Arabidopsis thaliana: one gene and its partners. The protein of the gene in region 4 interacts with the protein of the main gene of each other region in a pairwise test. Each region holds a gene or a part of one and is shown on either strand. Other genes may lie near its edges.

Region 1 (5,377 bases), 5.4 Mb from region 4:
AGATTACCAGCAGAAGACTATTCATTACCCACAAGATTGTAATGTAACAGATATTGAACTTAAGTGTTATGCAGCCACATAAGAAGCGTTTCCTTTTCGTATCAATATCTTAAACTTAAAAGAAGATTCAAGGGAAAAAAGCTGATCTGTTTGACATACCTTGATCATCAGAAGGAACAGTATTTTCTTCCTGCTTTTCGTATAACTTGTTTGGATCAACTCCACTGGCAACCCTTTCTCGCAGTTCATTTATACAATTCTAAAAGGATAACACATCAGTATATATCAATGTATCAAGTATAAATGCAAAGGCAACATAGCCATTGAGTGAATATATAGTTTCAGTTTCTGGCAGAACCTAACTATGTTAGGGAAGTAAAGAACGTATGAGCAACCTAACACAGCCTCAGAGTCTAGTAATTCGAACTTTAAAGCAACAGATGATTGATCACCAAAGAACGAGACAAGCAATGTCATTCTGGCCTATATAATTTGTTTCACGATGTTAGCCCGTCAGCAGGATTCAGATCAAGTATAAACGCAAAGGCAACATAGCCATCAAGTGAACATATAGTTTTTAGTTACTGGAAGAACCTAAGTATGTTACACAAGTAAAGACTAACATATGAGCACAATGATCATATACCAAAACAGCCTAACAAATACTCAGATCCTCTATCTTGCAACTTGAAAGCAACACATGAGTGAACATCAAACAAGGAGACGAACAATGTAATTCTGATTACAGCAATCTAGACTAACCACTGCTTAATACAATCATCGGAATATTTTCAACCTTTAAATCCGGATTCATAGATTCACAATTGCCACAAGGAAGAACGCTTTACAAAAACAGAAAAAGTGGATCGAGCAATGTAGTACCTTAACACGCTTAGTAGAAGCGACTTGTTGAACTTTATGCACAAAGTGATCAAAGGAATAGTAAGGTAGCAAATGAGTGTGCCACTCACTGTACAACCGTATCAAATTCCCCAAATCGCTCACCTATAAAAATTATTCATATTATCCAAATTATCACACTGTAACATGTAAAACCGCTGTTAAACGAATCTGCGGGTGAAAAAAAGACTTGCCTCTTTGCCTCGGCCACGATACTTGAAGGATTTAGGGAAATAGCGAAGAACATAGCCGAGACCATCCTCAGAGAGTAACAATTCAGGAGTTAGCTTGGGCCTTTGAACTCTCGTCTTCGTCACTTTAGGAGCAGGAGCTATTGAGGTTCCACTTTTACTGGAGGATCTCTGAAATTCATTATTAGGGATTTGAGATGGAGCGGAAGAAGAAGAAACGGAATTATTGCCGGCGACCGGAGCCGATGATGGACAATCACGAGACCAATGACCGGGACGACCACACTTGAAGCATCCCGTCGGAGCTGATTCCATTTCAGATTTCACTCTTCGATCTCTCTTTCTCCCTCTTAGGTCTTTTATCATTCCACCATCGAAAATTATTTGGGCGGTTTTCACTTTTTCTTTAGCGGGAAAATTAGACGAGTCGGGTACTGTTTGACCCGGTTTATTATAAAAACCTAAAGAAAGAGAAGCCCATTAAATACAAATTTTGGAACCAAACATATTGTAATTTGAGGCCTTAAAGCCCAGTAGAATATATTAGTAACGTAGTAGAGAAGACAGAGAGTTGCAAATAATGTCCAGAAATAGTATTATTATAGTCCAGAAATAGCGTTTTTTAGCGGGATGATCTATCAATACTGGCAAAAATTATTAATTTTAGTGTGTTGTGGGACAGATTAATCCACTTCAAGATCATTACTTGAGAATTTATTTACAGGATTTTTAAAATTAGGTTATACAGAAATTCGAAAGAAGAAGGATGGTTCTCCATGCTTTTGGGAAAAGGTAAGAGTTTATGAGAGATTGAGATTATTACAAAAAATCTAAACTTTTTTTTTGTCCATTTTTTCTCGGAAAAATTACTCTTCTTCATCGATTTTCCGGTGGTTTGGATTGTCAACTTCATCTTCTTCTTCTCTTTCTCCTTTCATTTTTTTTCTTGTGTTTCTTCTTTTACGTGGGTCCTTCAATCTCCATGAAGGACCCGACCATTGCTTAATCCTAAACAAAACTCCAAAAATCTAATTCTTTTCGATCTGTTTTATCTTCAAATAATAATACTCTTTGATTGCTAAAACCGATTTTGATCATCATCATGCACTGTTTTCCGTGTTTCTCTTCGCCAAAGAACAAGAAATCTTCAACTACGAATGAGACCAACGACAACAACGAACCCAAACCAGATGGTATTTATCTCCTAACGATGTACCATTTCTTAGTTTTCCTTGTTCATACGATCAGTAAAATGAAAGAAAACAAAAAATGATCATTTTTTGTTTGTTTTTAAAGATAGGAGACGTGCAGAAGAAACAGAGGAAATAGAGCAATCGGAAGGAACATCGTTGAAGATATTCACTTTCCGGGAATTAGCTACAGCCACAAAGAATTTCCGGCAAGAGTGTTTGCTAGGAGAAGGTGGATTTGGTAGGGTTTACAAAGGAACCCTCAAATCTACTGGCCAGGTTCTTCCTTAAATCTCCAGAATTTGGAATTTAGGATACATTCATGAGACCATCACCAAAGTTAGGTATTTTTCAATGAGCCATCATCAGAATCAGAAGAATTTGTCTTGTAGGTGGTGGCTGTAAAGCAACTAGACAAGCATGGATTACATGGAAACAAAGAGTTTCAAGCTGAGGTTTTGTCTTTAGGCCAACTTGATCATCCGAATCTTGTTAAGCTTATTGGTTACTGCGCGGATGGAGATCAAAGGCTTTTGGTCTATGATTATATCTCTGGAGGTTCACTTCAAGACCATCTTCATGGTACTAAATTGAGAGATTCTCATTGAACACATTTTTTTTACTTTGAAAGAAATGACAATTTGAATTTTGCAGAACCAAAAGCAGACAGTGATCCGATGGATTGGACAACTAGGATGCAGATAGCGTATGCTGCAGCGCAAGGGCTTGATTACTTGCACGATAAAGCGAATCCACCCGTGATATACAGAGATTTGAAAGCTTCAAACATTTTGTTAGATGATGACTTTTCTCCTAAGCTTTCTGATTTTGGTCTACATAAGCTAGGACCCGGGACAGGTGATAAGATGATGGCTTTATCTTCACGAGTAATGGGAACTTATGGTTACTCTGCACCTGAGTATACACGAGGCGGAAATCTCACTTTGAAATCAGATGTCTATAGCTTTGGTGTTGTGTTGCTTGAGCTTATCACGGGTCGAAGAGCTCTTGATACTACTAGGCCTAATGATGAACAGAACTTAGTTTCTTGGGTAATAAATAACAAACCCTAATATTATTGCACTTTTTCAACCAAGTTAAAACAAGAAGTTTTTATCTTGCTGAACAATTCATGTTATCGCAGGCACAACCGATATTTAGAGATCCGAAGAGGTATCCCGATATGGCAGATCCAGTTTTGGAGAATAAATTCTCAGAGAGAGGATTAAACCAAGCAGTGGCAATAGCTTCAATGTGTGTGCAAGAGGAAGCATCAGCTCGTCCTCTTATAAGCGATGTAATGGTTGCGCTTAGCTTCCTTTCGATGCCTACAGAAGATGGTATTCCCACAACAGTTCCTATCTTATCCTTCAAAGACAAGAGCATGTCTATAGCCTTAAGCCGACATGATTCAAATCTTGTATCTCCTCCTCCTGAGCTAGCTACGGAAGATGACAAATCTAGTACCTCATCAGGCGAAGAATCATCTTTGGAGAGCGAAAAGGAGAGTGTGAGTAAGAATGAGTATAAGAAGAAACATGAAGAGGAAGATAGCTCAATGGAATCTGATGATGAGTCTGATTCTAACTCTGAACATGAAAAGGACCAACCACCAAAGCCTATTGATGAGAAGAACCAGGCGCAAAGCTTGAAGATAAAGTATAGATATAGCTGGGAAGATATTGATGTCAATGATGAGAGGCTAAGCAGTAAAAGCAGCCAAAAATCAAACGACGAAAGTACTTCTTCGCGTTATGATAGCGACAGAGATCAAGACGAGAAAGGGAAAGAAGAAGAGGAAGAGGAAGAGGCAGAAGAAAAGCATACTCATATTGAACACATTGATAGCTCAAAAACTGATGATGATCAAAGTGTTTACTTTGATAATGATGATGATTCAGGAGATGACAATGGAGGCTCTTTGCATCGGATAAAATCAGATGTTGCGATCGATTCTATTAAAGAGTGACATTTTTCAAGATTTTTTATCAATCCGTTGAAGCTCACAAGAAGTATTTGAAACTTTTTTGGGTTTATTTTTGGGAAAAATTCTTAATTGGGTATTAAAATAAGATACATATTGACGGTTTTTCTTAACAAATTATAACCATCTCTCTTTATACATGATGAAGATGTTTTGGATTGATAGATTAATAAAGAAACAAGTTGTATAATCAGATAATCTGATTGAGAAAACTTATCTCAGCTTTTGTAATCCTTTAAAAAAAAATGTTACGTACTTGTGTTTTTCTTTAAATAGTAGATGAAATAATAATAGTTTAGCATTTTAAAGAAAAACAAGTATGAGATAATCAAACCCTAGATAAGAATCTTAATAATCAATCTTAGCTGTGACTCATATAGCCTATGAGCAAATATTACATTATTCATAGGAAATGGAAAGTATTAGATTCTCAATTTGGATATACTAAAGTAGATACTTAAACTGATAGATAAAAGACATATCTACTTCTTATCCTATTTTTGCAATTAAGGATAGTCTTTGTGTTTTCCATCTTTTTGTCAACGACACTTGTCAAAAGTTTCAGTCTGTGGAATCAAAATTTTTAAATGAGACCACTTAGTTTTACTTTTCTTTCATGATTCGACCACTATACTTTCTAAGAATATTTATTTTAATCAAAATTAGATAATGTTTACAGGATTGACCCAAATTAGATTCGTAAAGAATCGTCAGCTATGAGGTCAAATAAAAGCAGAGAAAACGACACGTGTCAGGATCTTGGAGATTCCTGAAGTGAGGTCCACCCTAAAATCCATTTAAGGTTTTCTAAGCAAATCAACAAAGGAAGGAAGGATCCTACCAAAAGCTCCCAAAATCTGAGTACGCTTTTCAAAGTTGTCTCCTTTATGAACCCCACTTGATCCCTTCTCCTCCTATAAAAACATCTTCTTCTCAGATCAATCCCATCAAATCTCGGGTCTTGCTCTGTTTCTCTCTTTTTGATTCTTTTAGAGGTTTACTGAATTCGATGTGTTTGATTATGGAAACGGATGATCACAACGGTGATGTTTTAGCGCCGCCGTCGAATTTCTCGATGGTTGAAGATGGAATTTATCGATCTGGGTTTCCTC
Region 2 (3,979 bases), 5.3 Mb from region 4:
GCTGGAACTTGACCAAACGGCTAATACAAGTATACAACGTAATGAATAACACGTTTTCTGTGATAATACTGAAAATATTGTGACTTATATACCTGACGAAGAAGATGTTGTGGTTTTTTCTGTTCAAGTTTATCGAGATCGACATGAATTACTTCAAACTCGATGTCTTTTTCCAAAAAGCAGAGCAATACTCTTTGTGGATTAGCTGCTTTTATCTGCCCATATACTTTGACCACCATTTTCTGATTATATGTTTATACGTAACTATTGATATGAAATTGTAAATACCGACATGAATGTGGATGTATGCATTTATAGGCCACAAAAGTTATAAAATGTTTATGAGTGCCTTTGTCTGCTGTGGATATTAATCAGTGGTCATTTTTTTTTTTTTTTTCAAATCCGTTGGACCTTTGAGTAGGTGAGATCATGAAACGTGCTTTTAGCATGGAATTCTTGATTTTTAAAATGTTTTTTGTTGTTGTTCTAATTAAAATTGTGAATAATAACGTTTACAAGAGCTGTGAATTATTTTTCACTATAGTACTGGAGATGTGTACAGTAGACGAACCAACATTTAATTACAGTTAACTTATAATAAGTGTCGATGTGAAACAAACTTTGAAGGTTACTTTGCGTATATATTTTGGCATTCATGAATGTTTCTGATTGCTCTAATTTGCTAAATCAGGTTTCTAATTACATATATGTAAAATTTTGTAAATTTAAAATAAAATACAAAAGGTATTTGTTTTTGTACAGTCCAATTATGTCAAATATGATACAAGAGACTAGAGAGTGTTAAGAACTCTAAATGCCATGTTAAGCTTCATAATTGGATAGTGGTCAATTCGCACACAAAAAGAAAGAAAGAAAGGCAAAGAAGGTTTAGACAGGGACACGCCTTCCACGGTAGCGATCCAGCAACTGATTCAGTGACCAATATATATAGTTGGTAAAAGTTTGATTGGATAAGGCAAATAAGTCTAAATAGTAAAACAGAGAGAAGTTGCAATGAATGTACCGATCTGATGTATGGTTGCTGCAAAAGCCAGCCTAATAGAGGTATCCTTTGAAGGAAGACGGCAAGTGTAGGCCAGAAACCACTTTAAAATTACAGAAGAATAAAGGAAAGACATGAGTCAGCAAATCAAAACTAGAAATGAATTAGTAAAACCATTAAATGTTGTTGAGGAGAAGAAAACCCACCTGAAGAGCACAAGGAACCCATATGATTCAAGAAGCAAACCGAAAATAGGCCATCCAAACACAACCAACAAGAAACCCAATCCAAATGATATAGTACCCTGTATGTATATCAAGAAGATGTATTATTGTATTAATAATAGTCATCAAATTGGAAGCACAAGGGATTCATGAAAGAACCTTAAAATTCTGCCGTTTAGTAAAGAATTGGATTGCTGGGTTGATTCCAATGGTTAGAGTCACACCAGCTAAGAAGAGGATCTGTCCAAAGAGACCACAGAGACCCTTAAAAAGCCTTGCTAAAATCGTAAAGAACACACACCAAAGATGGTATAAATAGACCTACGTTCCCCATGGCTATGAGTCCCTTGTCAAACACAAATATCACTCCCAGGAATGTAAAGAACACACCAAATCCAGTCAAACCTAGCCCTATCTCTGCCACATCAATCAAATTCCTTAACGATTCAGCAATTCAAGATCAATGGATACTAGTTCATTATCACATCCCTATTCAAAGAGTTTATGATTGGAACACTTACTTTTTAGGTCATTCATCTCCAAGGAAGCCATTGTTACCGAAAAAATTGCACAATCAAAAACCTTTAAGAGCAGGAATTCAAACAAATTTAAGATCTGAGAAAGTGTTATCTTTTGATCTCTGAAATCAATCCAAGAGTTTGAATCGATGAAGAATGGATCGTGCCAGTGAAAACTTCGTCATCCCATGGGTCTCCACGTCATCTTGACAGCATTATACAATAATCATTAAGAAATTTCAAAAGAACCACCTAACTATTAATTATTTCGGAATACACCCCAAAACATTTCTAGACTTTAGCATTCTACATATAATTTCTGCCATGAATTGGATAAAACAAAAAGTAAGGTGTATTTTAATGACAAAGAAAATACATGATGGAATTTGTACTAGTTAGTATAAGTGGGTAAAATTTGTAAATATGAAAGCTAAGAGACATGTAAATTTGCCGCAAAAAAAAGAGGCTGTAAATTAAGAAAGCCCATTGTAGGCCCAATATAGATAACTGCGACTCCTCTAGTCCAGCCCATCAATCTCTAAGAATTTAGATTTTTCATTTTCTTAATTCATCAATTTTAATTTTCTTAGTTCATCACATCTAAAAATACAGAACATTATTTTAATTTTCTTAGTTCATCACATCTAAAAATACAGAACATTTTCAATTGGTCAGTTACTTGTATATATACTGTTAAGTGCTCTCTAAATTAAACTGAAACTTACAAAATTATCAAAAGAGTCAAAACACTTTAAAGTAACAACAACTTGTACAAGATTAGAAAACAAAAGATTTGAAAAACATCGTCCCAAACGAAACCCGGTTCTCTTCCGGTTTAGGTTCGAGTGAGCAAAGCCGAAATATGAGCCGCCGAGAGCGTCTGGGCTCTCGGAGGCGGTCTGTTACCGGAAAGTCGCGGCGGTCTATCGTTCCCAGCGAGAAAAACGTCGTGGACACTTAAATTTCGCTCCGATGCGCCGCCGCATCCTGATAATCTACGACAGTGAGGGCTCTCTCGTCGCTGCTTCAGCTTTGCGTTGAATGGATTCTCAGGCTTCGCGAGATCTTCCACAGTTAGCGCTTCTGCCAACGTTGTGAACGATTGTGATTTACCTTTGTAATGTTTCGACAATCCTCTCCTGTTATCAAAATTTCCCAAACATAAATTCGTGGTAGGAAGATTAAAAAGTTTCTTTACAACGAAAAAGATCTCAGAAATTAATTATACCCCTAAACTATAAGATTGTTTAAGAATACACCCTAATGATTGGGGTTTGTTCTGACAATTACTAAAGCCAGGGGTTAAAAGCGGAACTTTCTGATTCTCATTACCTTGAAGAAGAAGAAGAACTGCGACGGTCCGAATCATCAGGGGAGTTTGGAAAAGAAGAGGGAGAGTTAACACCTTCATCTGCGTCCGCGTCTACGTCTCTGGTGTAGTTTCCGCGTCTGCGTTCTTCACCCAACATAAGAGACTCCATCTGTTCTTGATAGTGCATTTTTTCTTCTAAGCGGCTTCTAATTGATTAAGAGTTGAGAGAACAGTGGCATTTATACGACTATAATTATTTTAATGAATGTGTTTATATAGTCGGCCCGTTATTAAAGTTTATTTACAATGTTTACGCAATGGATATTCGAATTTAAAACATTATCTAATGAGCTCTGTTTGTCAAATAACATGTCACGCCCATGAACATGGGTTCTGGTTTTGCGGTCTTTATATAATAAGTAGGGTATTTTTTTATGTCAGAGATAAGATATTTTGGGAATGATGGAACAAGATGACGACACGTGGAAAGAGTGAAGAAATGGACGGAGTTTAAATACTTGTTTACGTGGTGGGTGGAAACAGATGGCACGAACAACGAGGCCATCGAGAATCTCTGTGTAACGAATCTAACGATACGTGTCGAACTACGTTGAACAGATTCAAAGACTTTTGGGCCATGATTGATAAATGAACTTTATTTTATGTATTTATGGACCGTTTCTAAGGCCCCTTAGCACATGATCGCTTTGAAAAAACATATCAAGATGTGTAACTAATTGGGGAGAAAAATGGAAATACGGAGGAATCTATACGTTTTCTTCACCAAAGAGCAAGTAGAATGTTTTCCTCTACTTTGCTTCTTCTCTTTCCTTATTCCTGCGTAAATTAAATGAACTAATTTTCTACTGCTTCAACTGGTAAGACACAGAGTTAGAATAACCTGTTCTTTACTCTAATAATA
Region 3 (7,745 bases), on a different chromosome or scaffold from region 4:
AACAACCGCTTTGTAGGTCCTTTTCCGGATGTCGTCCTTGCACTCCCTTCTCTAAAGTACCTTGACCTTCGTTACAATGAGTTTGAAGGCCCCTTGCCTCCAAAACTCTTCAGCAATCCCCTCGATGCCATTTTTGTGAACAACAACCGGTTAACAAGCCTCATCCCCCGAGATTTCACAGGAACAACCGCCTCTGTTGTCGTCTTTGCCAACAATGATTTTAGCGGTTGTCTGCCTCCAACCATAGCCCGCTTTGCAGATACCTTAGAAGAGCTTCTCCTAATCAACTCAAGCTTATCTGGGTGTCTACCCCCCGAAGTCGGGTATCTCTACAAGCTAAGAGTCCTGGACATGAGCTACAACAGTTTAGTTGGTCCTGTACCTTACAGTCTCGCTGGGCTAGGCCATCTCGAGCAGCTAAATCTGGAACACAACATGTTCACTGGCACTGTCCCTCTTGGAGTCTGCGTTTTGCCCAGCTTGCTGAACGTTACCGTCTCTTACAACTATTTCAGTGAAGAAGAAGGTATCTGCAGGAACCTGACTTCCAGAGGAATAGCCATCGATGATCGCTACAACTGTCTGCCTGACAAACCGCTTCAGCGTCCCCAAAAAGTCTGTGATGCTGTACTTGAGCACCCCATAGACTGCTATGACCACGAATGCTCACCCATGGCTCCACTGGTTGCTCCATCTACCGCAGGACCTTCCATTGCTCCTGGTCCAGCTGACACATAAGGATTCACTCTTATGCGCACAATGACAAGATGCTATGTATGCAAAGAAAATGAAAGAACTAGAAATGTGTGAAAGATTTAGTTGTGGGGTGAAGAATATGCACTAAGATTATAACGTAATACAGTTTATACAGAACACAATTGTCTATCTGCGGTATCTAGCCGCAGTTACAGATTCCACCTTTGCTCTGTTTTCATCTAAAAATCTTCTAAACCTCTGCAAGGACCTGAAATTAAAGAACCAGCCCCACCTGTTTCAGGATCAAATTTTGCAGCAGTTAACTTCGCGATTTTGTGAACAATCACACTTCAGGAATGTTTGACAAATAAGTAATACATCCCACAGTCAGACAAAAAAAGGAACCGACAAACCTGAAACACTCAAATAAAAGCATGATTCCTCATAGGCCAACTATTTACAGAGATTTGGGTTTTATCATTTTGAATTCTCATTTATGAAATCATATTTCTGTTAGCAACAAATTTTCTTCAGATAGAACCAAGACCCTATCTATAGACCTAATAGGCAAAGAAACTTCGAAGGAAAAAAAGTAAAATAAAAAATTTAGATTTGAGTTGTTACCCGCAATAATCTGAGTGAAGTCTGTACATCCTAACAAACCGAAAACATCCTCTATGCTGGAGGAAGAGACCGCCGACAAGTTGGACACTCCATTTTTATATCCATCCATCTCTGTAAGCATCCCGAGTGAAAGAAATGTTCACATGGAGTTACCTGTTTTCAGAACAACCACACTCATGATTCTGTCTATTGGGGAAAAAATATAGTTAAGAGAAGCAGGAAAAAACTGCAGTACCATGCAATCACTGGTATGCTGTCTGAGATCAATAGCGGTCATGCAGATAACACAATCAGTGGTGCGGCTTACATCCCGATTAAATCTTCGGTGGTAGTTGTATTTCTCTGGTAGCATCTGCGTGTAGGCAAAACGATGAAGAAAGAGATTAGTGGTAGTCAAAAACAACTTAGCAATGGGAACGAGACTTGAAATATTCAAGCCAAACTGAAACCGAACTGAAAACTTAGTGTTCACTTTATTAGATATATTGTTTCATGTGTAGTTTACATGAATACAAAACAAACTAACCTGACGGGGAACAAAGCAGCGTGAACCAAAATAATGCTGAAGAAGAAGAATGACGGCTTGCAACCCCATGAATGTGCACAAGCATATACACCAAACCTTGTTGGGCTCTACACGCATGAAGTTGTGTGGGCATCCAAAAACATATAACGGTATAGCTAACCGTGTAGCTGTCATGCCCAAGATGTAATATGGGTGCAGAGGCTTTCTTGAATCCCGGACAACATTGGCGACTATTTGTGGTATCCAAAATGAGTACATGAGAAGGAGAATCGGCTGCATGTAGTTGTGGAACTGGTACATTATCAAAATGCCTCCAAGAAGGATCCCATCTGTTTAATATTGTGAAAATGATGAAACATCAGCATTAGCATCTGAACTTGCGTCAAAGTTTCAGCTAAATGAAAAACAGAAGTCACATAAATGGTGAGAATATCTAGCACTCAAGATTCAGTGCAGGTTATTGTCCTTAGAATCAAAATAAAACCTACATAAACTAGTGAATAACTTGGAAATTTTGAGAAGATAAACAAAACCATTTTTCCATACCATAGTGACAGGATATACTCGTATAGTTTCCAAAAATGCAATTTTCTCATTGGGATATTACATTTTTCTCTGTGGTTTGGAAGACAATTCAAACCATTTTCTTGGTATTGGTTTCAAGGAAAATAGCATTGAAAAGAGGGTAAGAGAATCAAGCAGTTATATATGACCCATATCATAAACATGCAGTAAGAAAAGAGTTTGAAGCTTTAATCGATAAAAAAAACACCAAAGAAGTAAGTACTCACAGAAACGACTGTACAGAAAGGACAGTTCTCTCCTCATTGTTTCCCAACCCTCTCCGCTATTGGAAGGACGGGTTGCTTTCCATATAGCCAGAAGATATCTCATCTCAAAAATCGAAAAGACTACGAACTTGAAGAACGCAGCGGTTGCAAATGCATTAAATAGAGATTCTGCATGAGAAGTAGTAAGCTTTAGGTTTAACACTGATTGATAATTGAGAAAGAAAAGAACATCACAATGTCAGGTAGCATAAGGGTCAGTGAGACAGATGAGGGACCGAATGGTCCATGAAAAACCAACAAAGAATATCATCAAAATGAAGGGACACTACAGAGTAAAATAAAAGCTAAACATGTTACATGAAAAAGAAGTAATAAGTTAATTAAAAAGCATAAGAAGATGGCATCCTTTAACGAGTACAATTATAACCAAAATACGTACCGACTAATATACCGGCTGTTAGATGTAAGAGGCACAAATAAGCATCCATGATCGCTTGTTGCCCAATCATTACAATGGATACCTTAGCAGCACCCTTGTATACAATAACTTGCGGAAGTTAGTATTTTTATTCGTTCTGTACAAGAATAACAATATCAGACCATCTGGTTTAAAACAGTATCTTACAGATTGTGTGTTACCGTGCTCCATTTGCCGGATCAACAGAAGAACCTGGAGGAAAGAGACCTAAATGCAATAGAGAGTTAAGGAACACGTAAAATTGCACAAGAACTCGGCATTCTATTATGAAAGAGTAAACGACTTTTCAGTAAAGGATACAAAAGTGACCATCAGTGTATAGTTCACAGCTTTGTTATAGTAGACTTCAACATTTACAGAAGTTGCGTTCAGTAACAAAGGGGAAAAACAATCTCCGTCATCGCCTACCCCAGGACTTTCCATCAATCCTTCCATGTGATAATAATTTTTGTCTCCATCTACCAAAATATGGAAAAGTCTTTCAATTTACAATTAAATGTGACAAAGGAGACAAAGAATACACCAAGATCACTTCGATGTTTAAAGTTAGAATGCATACTATTTTCACTAGAAGCCACACGGGATACTTGAGCTGCTATTTCGATATTACAGTGCTTCTCCATCTCATTTACTGGAGCTGAAGTACAAGAGAATTGAAGATCAGTGTTGCTGAAAAGTAAACCATACTGGAGAAAATAAGATACTGCTTACAAAGTTTCCGTTTCAGTAATCTGTCTCTTGGAGATTCTTGAAACACTTGAGAGGAGAAAATTCCAAGCTGTACAACAACAGAAAGTTGACACTAGTAAGCTCTTGGAACATTTTAACACATCAAACAAGCCATTAGCAGAAGAAAGCACTATCGTTGTCTTAAGGACTACCAGATGATAGGGATTTGAGAGAAGATTATTGTCTTCTTGCCCTGAATCACTCTCCTTGCCGCTGTTTAGGTCAAGTGATGTACAGACCTTGGAGTTAAGACTCAATAATAAATCTTAAGAGCAGTTAAATAAATCAAAAGTTAGTACCTGTTAGCCACAAGGCGGAGTTGTCTAAAGGGCCATATATATACACCTTCCAGATTTATTTGGGCACCACCCACATTTTGTTCATTGTCAAATACGTCATGGAAAACAACTACACCCTGTTTCATTAACGTTGTATAAGTTCAAAACATTGCATTCTACAACATCAACGGTGATCCTATGATACAGAGCTTAGAAGCTGAACTCTTTACCTGAACATAATGCACACCAGTTATCTTCGTTGGAACTGCTACTAACTCAACCACAGAATTACCATTTTCTTTTTGAAAGTCTTGAAACTTCGAAGAGCTATTTAAGGAATTCAGAAACTTCCAAGTTCCTGAAAATACCCGCTTTACATTTGATAAGTAGTCTAAAACATTAAGCTACAGACATATACCCACAACATCGTAGACAATCCTGAAGTGTAAAAGACGTAAAAAAAATGGAGAAGGGCATGCGGCAAACCTCTATAAGTTCCTGTTATATTCCAAGCAGAAAAGGGTCCAACTTCAGCTTCTTGTTTCCTACCAAAGAGCCACTGCAAGATCACAAAGACCTCACGTATTAAACCATTACCCAAACATTGCCTGGTCAGTCTAACGTACATGAGTTCCCTTTGCACAGTCTACTTAAAAGTCACTAGCTACAAACCCAAACTGTAAAATGTCATCGAAGATTCCCCACTATCACGCGTTCTACTTCTGTAACAACTAACCGGTCTCTATGTACCTTAGACTCCATTATTGTAGTCTCATCACACCACACTACTAACGACAGATTCATTCTTATTCATCTCAAAGTATTCGCCGGCAGAACAAAGCTTAGATACCGATGAGCTCAATCGAGCTAATGTAAATAGTTTATATACATTTTCAGCTTTGCTCAATCAAATCAAAAGATAAAACTTAGATCAGAGCTGCTCTACTCCGGGATTTTCATTCAATATGGTCCATTTTCTTCGAAACTCAGAAAATCTCAGACTTAGAAAAAAAATCATCAATTATGACCAGTTCTCGTTCAGCAAATCATGAGCAGAAACAAGTCAATAAAAAAAACATTTGACAGCAAACTGCTCGAATTCTTAGTTGGAAAGGCACATCAAAATTACGAACAAAACATAAAAATATGTTTCTGGGAAACATCGAAATGAAGAAACTTTCGAACAATCATCAATAAAGTAAAAACACACACACATACCTCGTCACTCCATGATCGAGGTTTCTCCCTAATAGGTCTCAATCCCAGCGCTTGTTGCGAAATCGCCAACCAAATCGATAACCATAAGATAATCTGCCACTCGAAGAACCCTAATCCCAAATGTTCCCGCTTCTTCATATCACTCACAACCCCCAAAAATCCCTTCTTTATGACTCAATACAAAATCCGACTGGATCAGAACTGATTCGAGTCTAGCTCAAAAACCCACATAACTGAAGAAAGAAAGAGGTTTGCTTCAAATGAAGTCAAAACAAAACTAGGCTTTGGTTTTGGTTGTGTAAGAAAACCCAAAAGACAGCATAAGATTCGTAGATGTATCAGACAGCAGATAGAAAGATGATTACAGACAGATAAACAACAACAACAATAACAACCTTAAGATGCAATTTGTTTTATAAAAAACTCCAATTGATGAATTTGGGCAATTGCGGTCGTTGAAGCTTCTCAATCAAACGTATTCTTCAATAACTCAATTGTTGAACAAGTCGAAACTTCTTTTTGGTCTCTCTGATTTTTATTTTTATTTTTATTTATTAGCTTTTTCTGTTATAAACGAAGGAAGGTTCAATTGATAAATTAGTTAGTTGAGGTTTCATATTCTCAGGTCTTTTCTTTACGCCTTAAAACTTCTTTTTTCCTCAAAAAGGATTTGTACCAATCTATTACGTTTTTTTTTGGACTAAAACATAAGTAGAAATTTGTATATTTCGATCTCACAGTTTAGGAACGATCATCAAATATTTAATTAGATCCTTCACCCCCACTAAATCCTCATTATAGAAAGTAAACAATTTCTAATATTGTCCAACTACAGTAGTTGATGTTTTAAAAGTAGAGGAGAAAGAGTATAAAATTAGGAGAAAGATTGTGTACATTGTGTAAACTACAAGACAATCAAAAAGGATTCAGTCTTCTACTAATAGTTGGGCTTTAAAGGTAGAGGAGAAGAAACTGCAAAGCCTTTCTTACAACATACCCAATCCATTTGAAAGGCCCACTAAAATTTTATTATTGTATCACTGGGATATTTATCGATTTGTAAATTGAAATATAAAATAAAACAATATGTAACGTAAGTTTTAAATAATAATAAATACTAAAGGATTACAATTTTATATTTGATGGCTAAATAATTACAAGATCTGAGTGAGAAATGTTTGTTTGTGAGAAAGAAAGTGAAAAATTAAAGGTAGATAGCCGTTAAGTCCACTGCATGTCGAGACGTGTTCAAAAGAAGACAGGAGCAAAACCAAAACGCTTCTACTTAATTCGCATTTCTTTAGGTAATCGATGCACAGCCCAAAAAGCTTGACCTAACGGCTATGTTTTCTTTACTTTCACCATAAATAAGCACCTCTTGAGGTTGCAAACACACACACACACACACACTCACTTCAAAAGAGTTAGTAAGAAGTTGGGGTTTGATTAACGTTTTGCATCGGAGATGGGTTTGGTCATGAGGTTTGATCTTTACCTTATGTTTGTGATGTTGATGGGTTTAGGGTTTACGATATCAAATGGATACAAGTTCTATGTTGGTGGGAAAGATGGTTGGGTCCCGACTCCTTCCGAAGATTATTCTCATTGGTCTCACCGAAACCGGTTTCAAGTCAACGACACTCTTCGTAAGTCTATTTCCTCTTCTCTACTATATATACACAATGTGTCAATATTAATGCATAGTAATTTTGATTTTTACAAGATTTTAAGTACGCCAAGGGAAAAGATTCAGTGTTGGAGGTGACTGAACAAGAGTACAACACATGCAACACGACACACCCCCTGACTTCCCTCTCAGACGGAGACTCTCTCTTCCTACTTAGCCACTCAGGTTCCTACTTTTTCATTAGTGGCAACTCTCAAAACTGTCTTAAAGGTCAGAAGCTAGCCGTCAAGGTCTTGTCCACCGTCCACCACAGCCACTCTCCTCGTCATACCTCTCCCTCCCCGTCTCCGGTCCATCAGGAGTTGTCTTCGCCGGGGCCTTCTCCAGGAGTGGAACCATCATCTGATTCAAACTCTCGTGTTCCAGCTCCAGGACCGGCTACAGCTCCCAATTCGGCCGGTTTGGTTGGTCCGGGGATGGTGGTTCTTGTGATTATGATAAGTTCTCTGTTTTGAGGGGTTTATATATTGTCGCTAGTCATTAAATTTGTGAGGGTATTAATTACTCTACCATTGAGTTTCATATTTATGTGCCTTTTTATTTGTATGTTTGAAGCATCTTGTAACCCATTTTTAATGTTTCCGCTGTCTCGTTTTTGTTCTTACTAAAGAAAATATTTAAGATGTTTTTTTGTATTGATTAGATGCGAATGTTTTTATTTTGTGTTTTAATTATGATCACACTAATATGAATATATACGACGAATATGTAGAGTTCA
Region 4 (4,093 bases):
ATTCTAGTGCAGATGTTTGTACCTAACGCTTCGTTTCTTGGGCATTTGGGTGGAATCCTTGCTGGTATTATCTATTTGAAGCTGAAAGGTTCTTACTCAGGCTCAGATCCAGTCACTATGGCGGTTAGAGGTGTATCTCGATTGGTGACGTGGCCCTTGAGGTTTCTGAATGGTATGGTTAGGTCTCGGAGAAGGAGGATTACGGGGAGAGGAAGAGTGGGAAGAGGTCAGACTGGGATAGCAGGACCTGGTATTTGGAGATGTCAGTCGTGTACATATGACAATTCTGGTTGGTTAAGTGCTTGCGAGATGTGTGGCTCGGGACGGGCTAGAGGAAATGGATGGTCACTGAATCAGGGACCAGCACTTTCTTCTTCTAATGATCTCCCTTTAGATGAGCTGCGCCGTCGAAGAGTAGAGAGGTTTAGTTGATCTCGGGAGCGCATTCTTAAAGCTGAGGAAGGATTGTGAATGAAGCTTTGTTGAATCATTCATTGCATTAGCTTATGAATAGCAGAGTTAGTGGTCGTGTTTTTCGATCTGTTTCTTCAATTTGTCTTCTCTTTTGTTGTTGAAGATTTGGTTCTACGTGAACTGGTCCTTTGATTAGATTGCTGAAAGTAGCGAGTGATTCAGATAATATAGTATCTTCACACCAAACTTACAGTTTCACAGACTTTCGATTTTAACAAAATTTTATCCTATTTCAAACCAAATTTTGTTGAAAGAAGAAGATCACAAAGCAAGATATAAATGTTAATCAGTAATCAATTTCCCTTTTTTCTTCCTTTTGCCTCCTTGCTTGATTTGCGCTGAGCTTGGAACATACGAGCACACAAGTGGATCTCGAATTTTATCAGTAGTTTTTCCGAGATCCACTTCTTTGTAATATCCATCCTCTCCAATGATGTAAGCTGTGTTGTGAGTGGGATACATTACATCTTTGTCTTTAGCAAAGACTACAACAACTTTCTTCTCTTCGTCAATGATGAAACTCGCATCTGCAATTCCAAACTTAAAATCAGTGAGTGGTTGCATATCCACTGCTAAGAACAACTTGCTCCACATCACCTCTTCAGGTTCAATCTTAGTCGTAACCCAAATCTCCATATGTAAGTTGTCCTTACGCTGAAATAACACAGCAAGTTGCTCTTCTCTAACACTAGAAAGACTCACAGTATCTACATCCATAGGGTAACACGGCAAATGAAGACGCGGCCCAAATCTCTCCGATGTAAAATTAAAACAGAGCAAGAAATAAACACTATGTATAAGATTACTGCTGATTTCTGGAAACTTGTCTGTAGCAAACCAATAAGTATTTCCCTTGAGAGAGACACCTCGTGCATAAAACTCTACTTCCCAGTCGGAAGTGACATCGAGAACCCTCCATGAATTAGACTTTAACTCGTATATTTCGTACTCAACAAATTCTTCTTCGGCAAAATCAACGAATCGCAAAACTTTGTAGCGTAGGCTTGATTTACGCTTCTCGTATCCTATAGCACAGATATACCAGTCCATTCTATGGTCAGGACTACTGGGTTTGAGCCACAAAGTTTGGCTCCTATACGGATTCCAAACCACGACCCTAGTGTAGTCTTTCGAGATACATAACAGTAAACCGTCGCAGTGATATACTTCAGATATATCGATCTGATCTGTACCGTTTAGGCTAACAAGTTTAGCTTGACGGTTTATAGACGGGTCAAAGCCGTTGTGAATTCCACGGAGGTTGATGCTCGTTAGATAAACCTTACAATGCAAGACCATGACAACCTTAAACTCACTTTCCCTTGATGTTGCTTCCTGAGCAAGGTGCTTCTTTGTAAAGCTCCGCTTTTTGGATAATGTTTTCCAATTTTTGCAGGTAAATCGCGCTTCTCTCAATGATTTCACCGGAACCCTAGAGAGTCTCTCCTCCAACAAATCTCTTGGAAGATCGGACATCATCTTCAAATCTTTCAAATTTGAACAAGGATCGATGTAACACAAATTAGTTAGGTTTGAAACTTCAGTAAAAAGCTCTCATGTTTCCCCACAGGAACCCTAACTCAAGCTGGGCCGAAACACAACTCTGCCCTCTAAAAATTTCCCGGAATTATTCATCTTTTTGAACTCTTATTTATATGACTGTGATGTCGTTTCATTTATGGGCTTTATTATTGGGCTTTTAGCCCAACTGTAGTTAAAAACTTTTTAGTGATTCTCATTTGTATATGGCGGGGGAGATGATCGACGGTCGCTTCTTGCGGTGGAGATGGAGGAGGAAGACTCTCCTCTCCGACTGCGGCGATTGAACCGAGAGAGCCACCGAAGATTCGAAACCTACAAAATATAGAGGGTGATGTAATCCAGCGTCTGAGCTCGCTGAGAACAGCCTCGACGCCGATTCCAATTCAGTACGGTGGCTTAAAGCTCCTTCAATTCTCAGACCATGGCCAAGGCTCTGTATCTTTTGCTCACTGGTTCTACCATTGTGAGTTCTTCACTACCACCTGCTTTGAATTCAACTACAATCTATCTACAAAATTCTCTAGCCGAAACCTTTCAAGTTTTAGCATGAGACCCTTAGCTTCAATTGTTTTTCTCTTGGACACTGTCTAACTTTGATTCTTCTTGGAATTGATTAGGAAATGGCTAAGAAAGTTGGAGAAGTTATAGAAAAATCCTGCGTAGAGAATGGGATCACAAAGGTGGCCTTTGACCGTGCAATTTACACTTACCATGGCTTTAGCTGCTTCAGCAAATAGAACACGGTCTCCAATTTTAAGTCTTTTTTTGTTTTGTCCTTCTCAGAAATTTGCTTGTATAGAACCCATGATTGAAATTTAGATTAGTCGGCTTGGAACAGTGTTAACTTCTTCCTTTTTAATGTGTTCATTTGTTCTTACTACTTATGCATCTCAAGAATGTTTATATCGTCTATACGATGATAATATATTTGAAAATGGTTGATGTTTACAAAGCTTCAGAAGGTAAGACATCAAATGTGCTGCTTAGTTAAGAGACAGGTACAAGTGCTTGCAAATTTAGGACAGAAGGACAAAGACAGAGACGAAAACTTCGGCGCAGTGAAGGCAGTTCATATCTGCGAAGTATAGATGCGATATGGTTGGAAGTTAAGTAACTGATAGTCTATAAATAGAAAAGTGCGAGGTATATGCCCACCCTGGAGTTGGTATGTCCGCTTCTATCTCATCTACCTATTATTAGCAAACTATAGACGTTATTAGTTTTCTGTTTTTTCCTTTTATATACTCACTTCTTTAATGTAGATTCTGTTTAATAAAAACAGTAACAGAACAGAATAAAATCTTGATTTCTTTTTTTTCCTCCCATTCAGGTCTCATACTTCGTTTGGCAATGCAATGAGGGAGCAGCCAAGGCAGTATTGAAGGGTGAAGCAGTATCTCGTTTCTTGACCAATCATCAACCTGTAAGTAGATCTCCACTAGGATGGCAAGCACCAACGTTACAGGGCAATGCCCGGGTCCAATGAAGGCTACCTCCAATGGAGCCTTCCAAAACGAAAGCCCTCTTGATTTCGCGCTTCCTCTTATCATCCTACAAATCGTCTTGGTGGTTGTGTTTACAAGGCTCTTAGCTTACTTTCTTAAGCCTCTCAAACAGCCCCGAGTCATTGCTGAGATCATTGTGAGTTTCCTACTCAATCTCTTTGTATTTTTCTTTTTCTGTTTTGATGAAATCACATAGCAAAAGAGACTAAAAGGGATGGTTCTGTAGGGAGGGATACTGCTTGGACCTTCTGCACTAGGGAGAAGCAAGGCCTATCTTGACACCATCTTCCCAAAGAAGAGCTTGACCGTTTTAGACACACTCGCCAACATTGGTCTTCTGTTTTTCTTGTTCCTAGTTGGGCTTGAGCTTGACTTTGCAGCAATAAAAAAAACTGGAAAGAAATCACTATTGATAGCCATAGCTGGGATCTCACTTCCTTTTATAGTGGGTGTAGGCACATCTTTTGTTCTCAGTGCCACCATAAGCAAAGGAGTCGATCAGCTTCCTTTTATTGTCTTCATGGGTGTTGCCTTATCAATCACTGCCTTCCCTGTGCTTGCTCGTATACTAG

Evidence for each region.
Region 1: the proteins of AT3G17620 (region 4) and AT3G02810 interact in a protein complementation assay, tested with the Arabidopsis thaliana proteins (one large-scale study listed by BioGRID).
Region 2: the proteins of AT3G17620 (region 4) and AT3G03180 interact in a protein complementation assay, tested with the Arabidopsis thaliana proteins (one large-scale study listed by BioGRID).
Region 3: the proteins of AT3G17620 (region 4) and AT4G28370 interact in a protein complementation assay, tested with the Arabidopsis thaliana proteins (one large-scale study listed by BioGRID).

Annotation. Positions count from the first base shown.
Region 1 is NC_003074.8:607,602-612,978, reverse strand, and holds AT3G02810 (Protein kinase superfamily protein), read left to right. Parts: upstream 1-1,839; 5' UTR 1,840-2,193; coding exon 2,194-2,284; intron 2,285-2,387; coding exon 2,388-2,560; intron 2,561-2,673; coding exon 2,674-2,863; intron 2,864-2,935; coding exon 2,936-3,333; intron 3,334-3,425; coding exon 3,426-4,250; 3' UTR 4,251-4,542; downstream 4,543-5,377. Other genes in the region: AT3G02820 (zinc knuckle (CCHC-type) family protein), read right to left, coding at 160-259, 883-1,005, 1,095-1,457; PFA-DSP3 (Tyrosine phosphatase family protein), read left to right, coding at 5,275-5,377. UniProt on the Arabidopsis thaliana protein: Involved in pollen tube guidance into micropyle. Participates in perception of the ovule-secreted peptide signal LURE1.
Region 2 is NC_003074.8:731,331-735,309, reverse strand, and holds AT3G03180 (Got1/Sft2-like vescicle transport protein family), read right to left. Parts: upstream 1,927-3,979; 5' UTR 1,780-1,926; coding exon 1,749-1,779; exon of another isoform or gene 1,645-1,748; coding exon 1,553-1,644; intron 1,468-1,552; coding exon 1,387-1,467; intron 1,308-1,386; coding exon 1,210-1,307; intron 1,107-1,209; coding exon 830-1,106; 3' UTR 679-829; downstream 1-678. Other genes in the region: GSTF11 (glutathione S-transferase F11), read right to left, coding at 1-20, 93-239; AT3G03170 (uncharacterized protein), read right to left, coding at 2,581-2,884, 3,078-3,244. UniProt on the Arabidopsis thaliana protein: May be involved in fusion of ER-derived transport vesicles with the Golgi complex.
Region 3 is NC_003075.7:14,032,749-14,040,493, reverse strand, and holds AT4G28370 (RING/U-box superfamily protein), read right to left. Parts: upstream 5,959-7,745; 5' UTR 5,479-5,958; coding exon 5,341-5,478; intron 4,682-5,340; coding exon 4,609-4,681; intron 4,481-4,608; coding exon 4,353-4,480; intron 4,260-4,352; coding exon 4,144-4,259; intron 4,058-4,143; coding exon 3,997-4,057; intron 3,894-3,996; coding exon 3,827-3,893; intron 3,753-3,826; coding exon 3,675-3,752; intron 3,574-3,674; coding exon 3,416-3,573; intron 3,323-3,415; coding exon 3,263-3,322; intron 3,171-3,262; coding exon 3,077-3,170; intron 2,806-3,076; coding exon 2,638-2,805; intron 2,176-2,637; coding exon 1,847-2,175; intron 1,673-1,846; coding exon 1,556-1,672; intron 1,474-1,555; coding exon 1,372-1,473; 3' UTR 1,321-1,371; intron 989-1,320; 3' UTR 826-988; downstream 1-825. Other genes in the region: AT4G28380 (Leucine-rich repeat (LRR) family protein), read left to right, coding at 1-738; ENODL3 (early nodulin-like protein 3), read left to right, coding at 6,806-6,986, 7,064-7,482. UniProt on the Arabidopsis thaliana protein: E3 ubiquitin-protein ligase that regulates the degree of methylesterification of pectin in seed mucilage. May be involved in the recycling of pectin methylesterase enzymes in the endomembrane system of seed coat epidermal cells.
Region 4 is NC_003074.8:6,025,742-6,029,834, forward strand, and holds AT3G17620 (F-box and associated interaction domains-containing protein), read right to left. Parts: upstream 1,954-4,093; coding exon 757-1,953; 3' UTR 705-756; downstream 1-704. Other genes in the region: RBL14 (RHOMBOID-like protein 14), read left to right, coding at 1-432; AT3G17626 (structural constituent of ribosome), read left to right, coding at 2,438-2,479, 2,634-2,753; CHX19 (cation/H+ exchanger 19), read left to right, coding at 3,460-3,657, 3,748-4,093.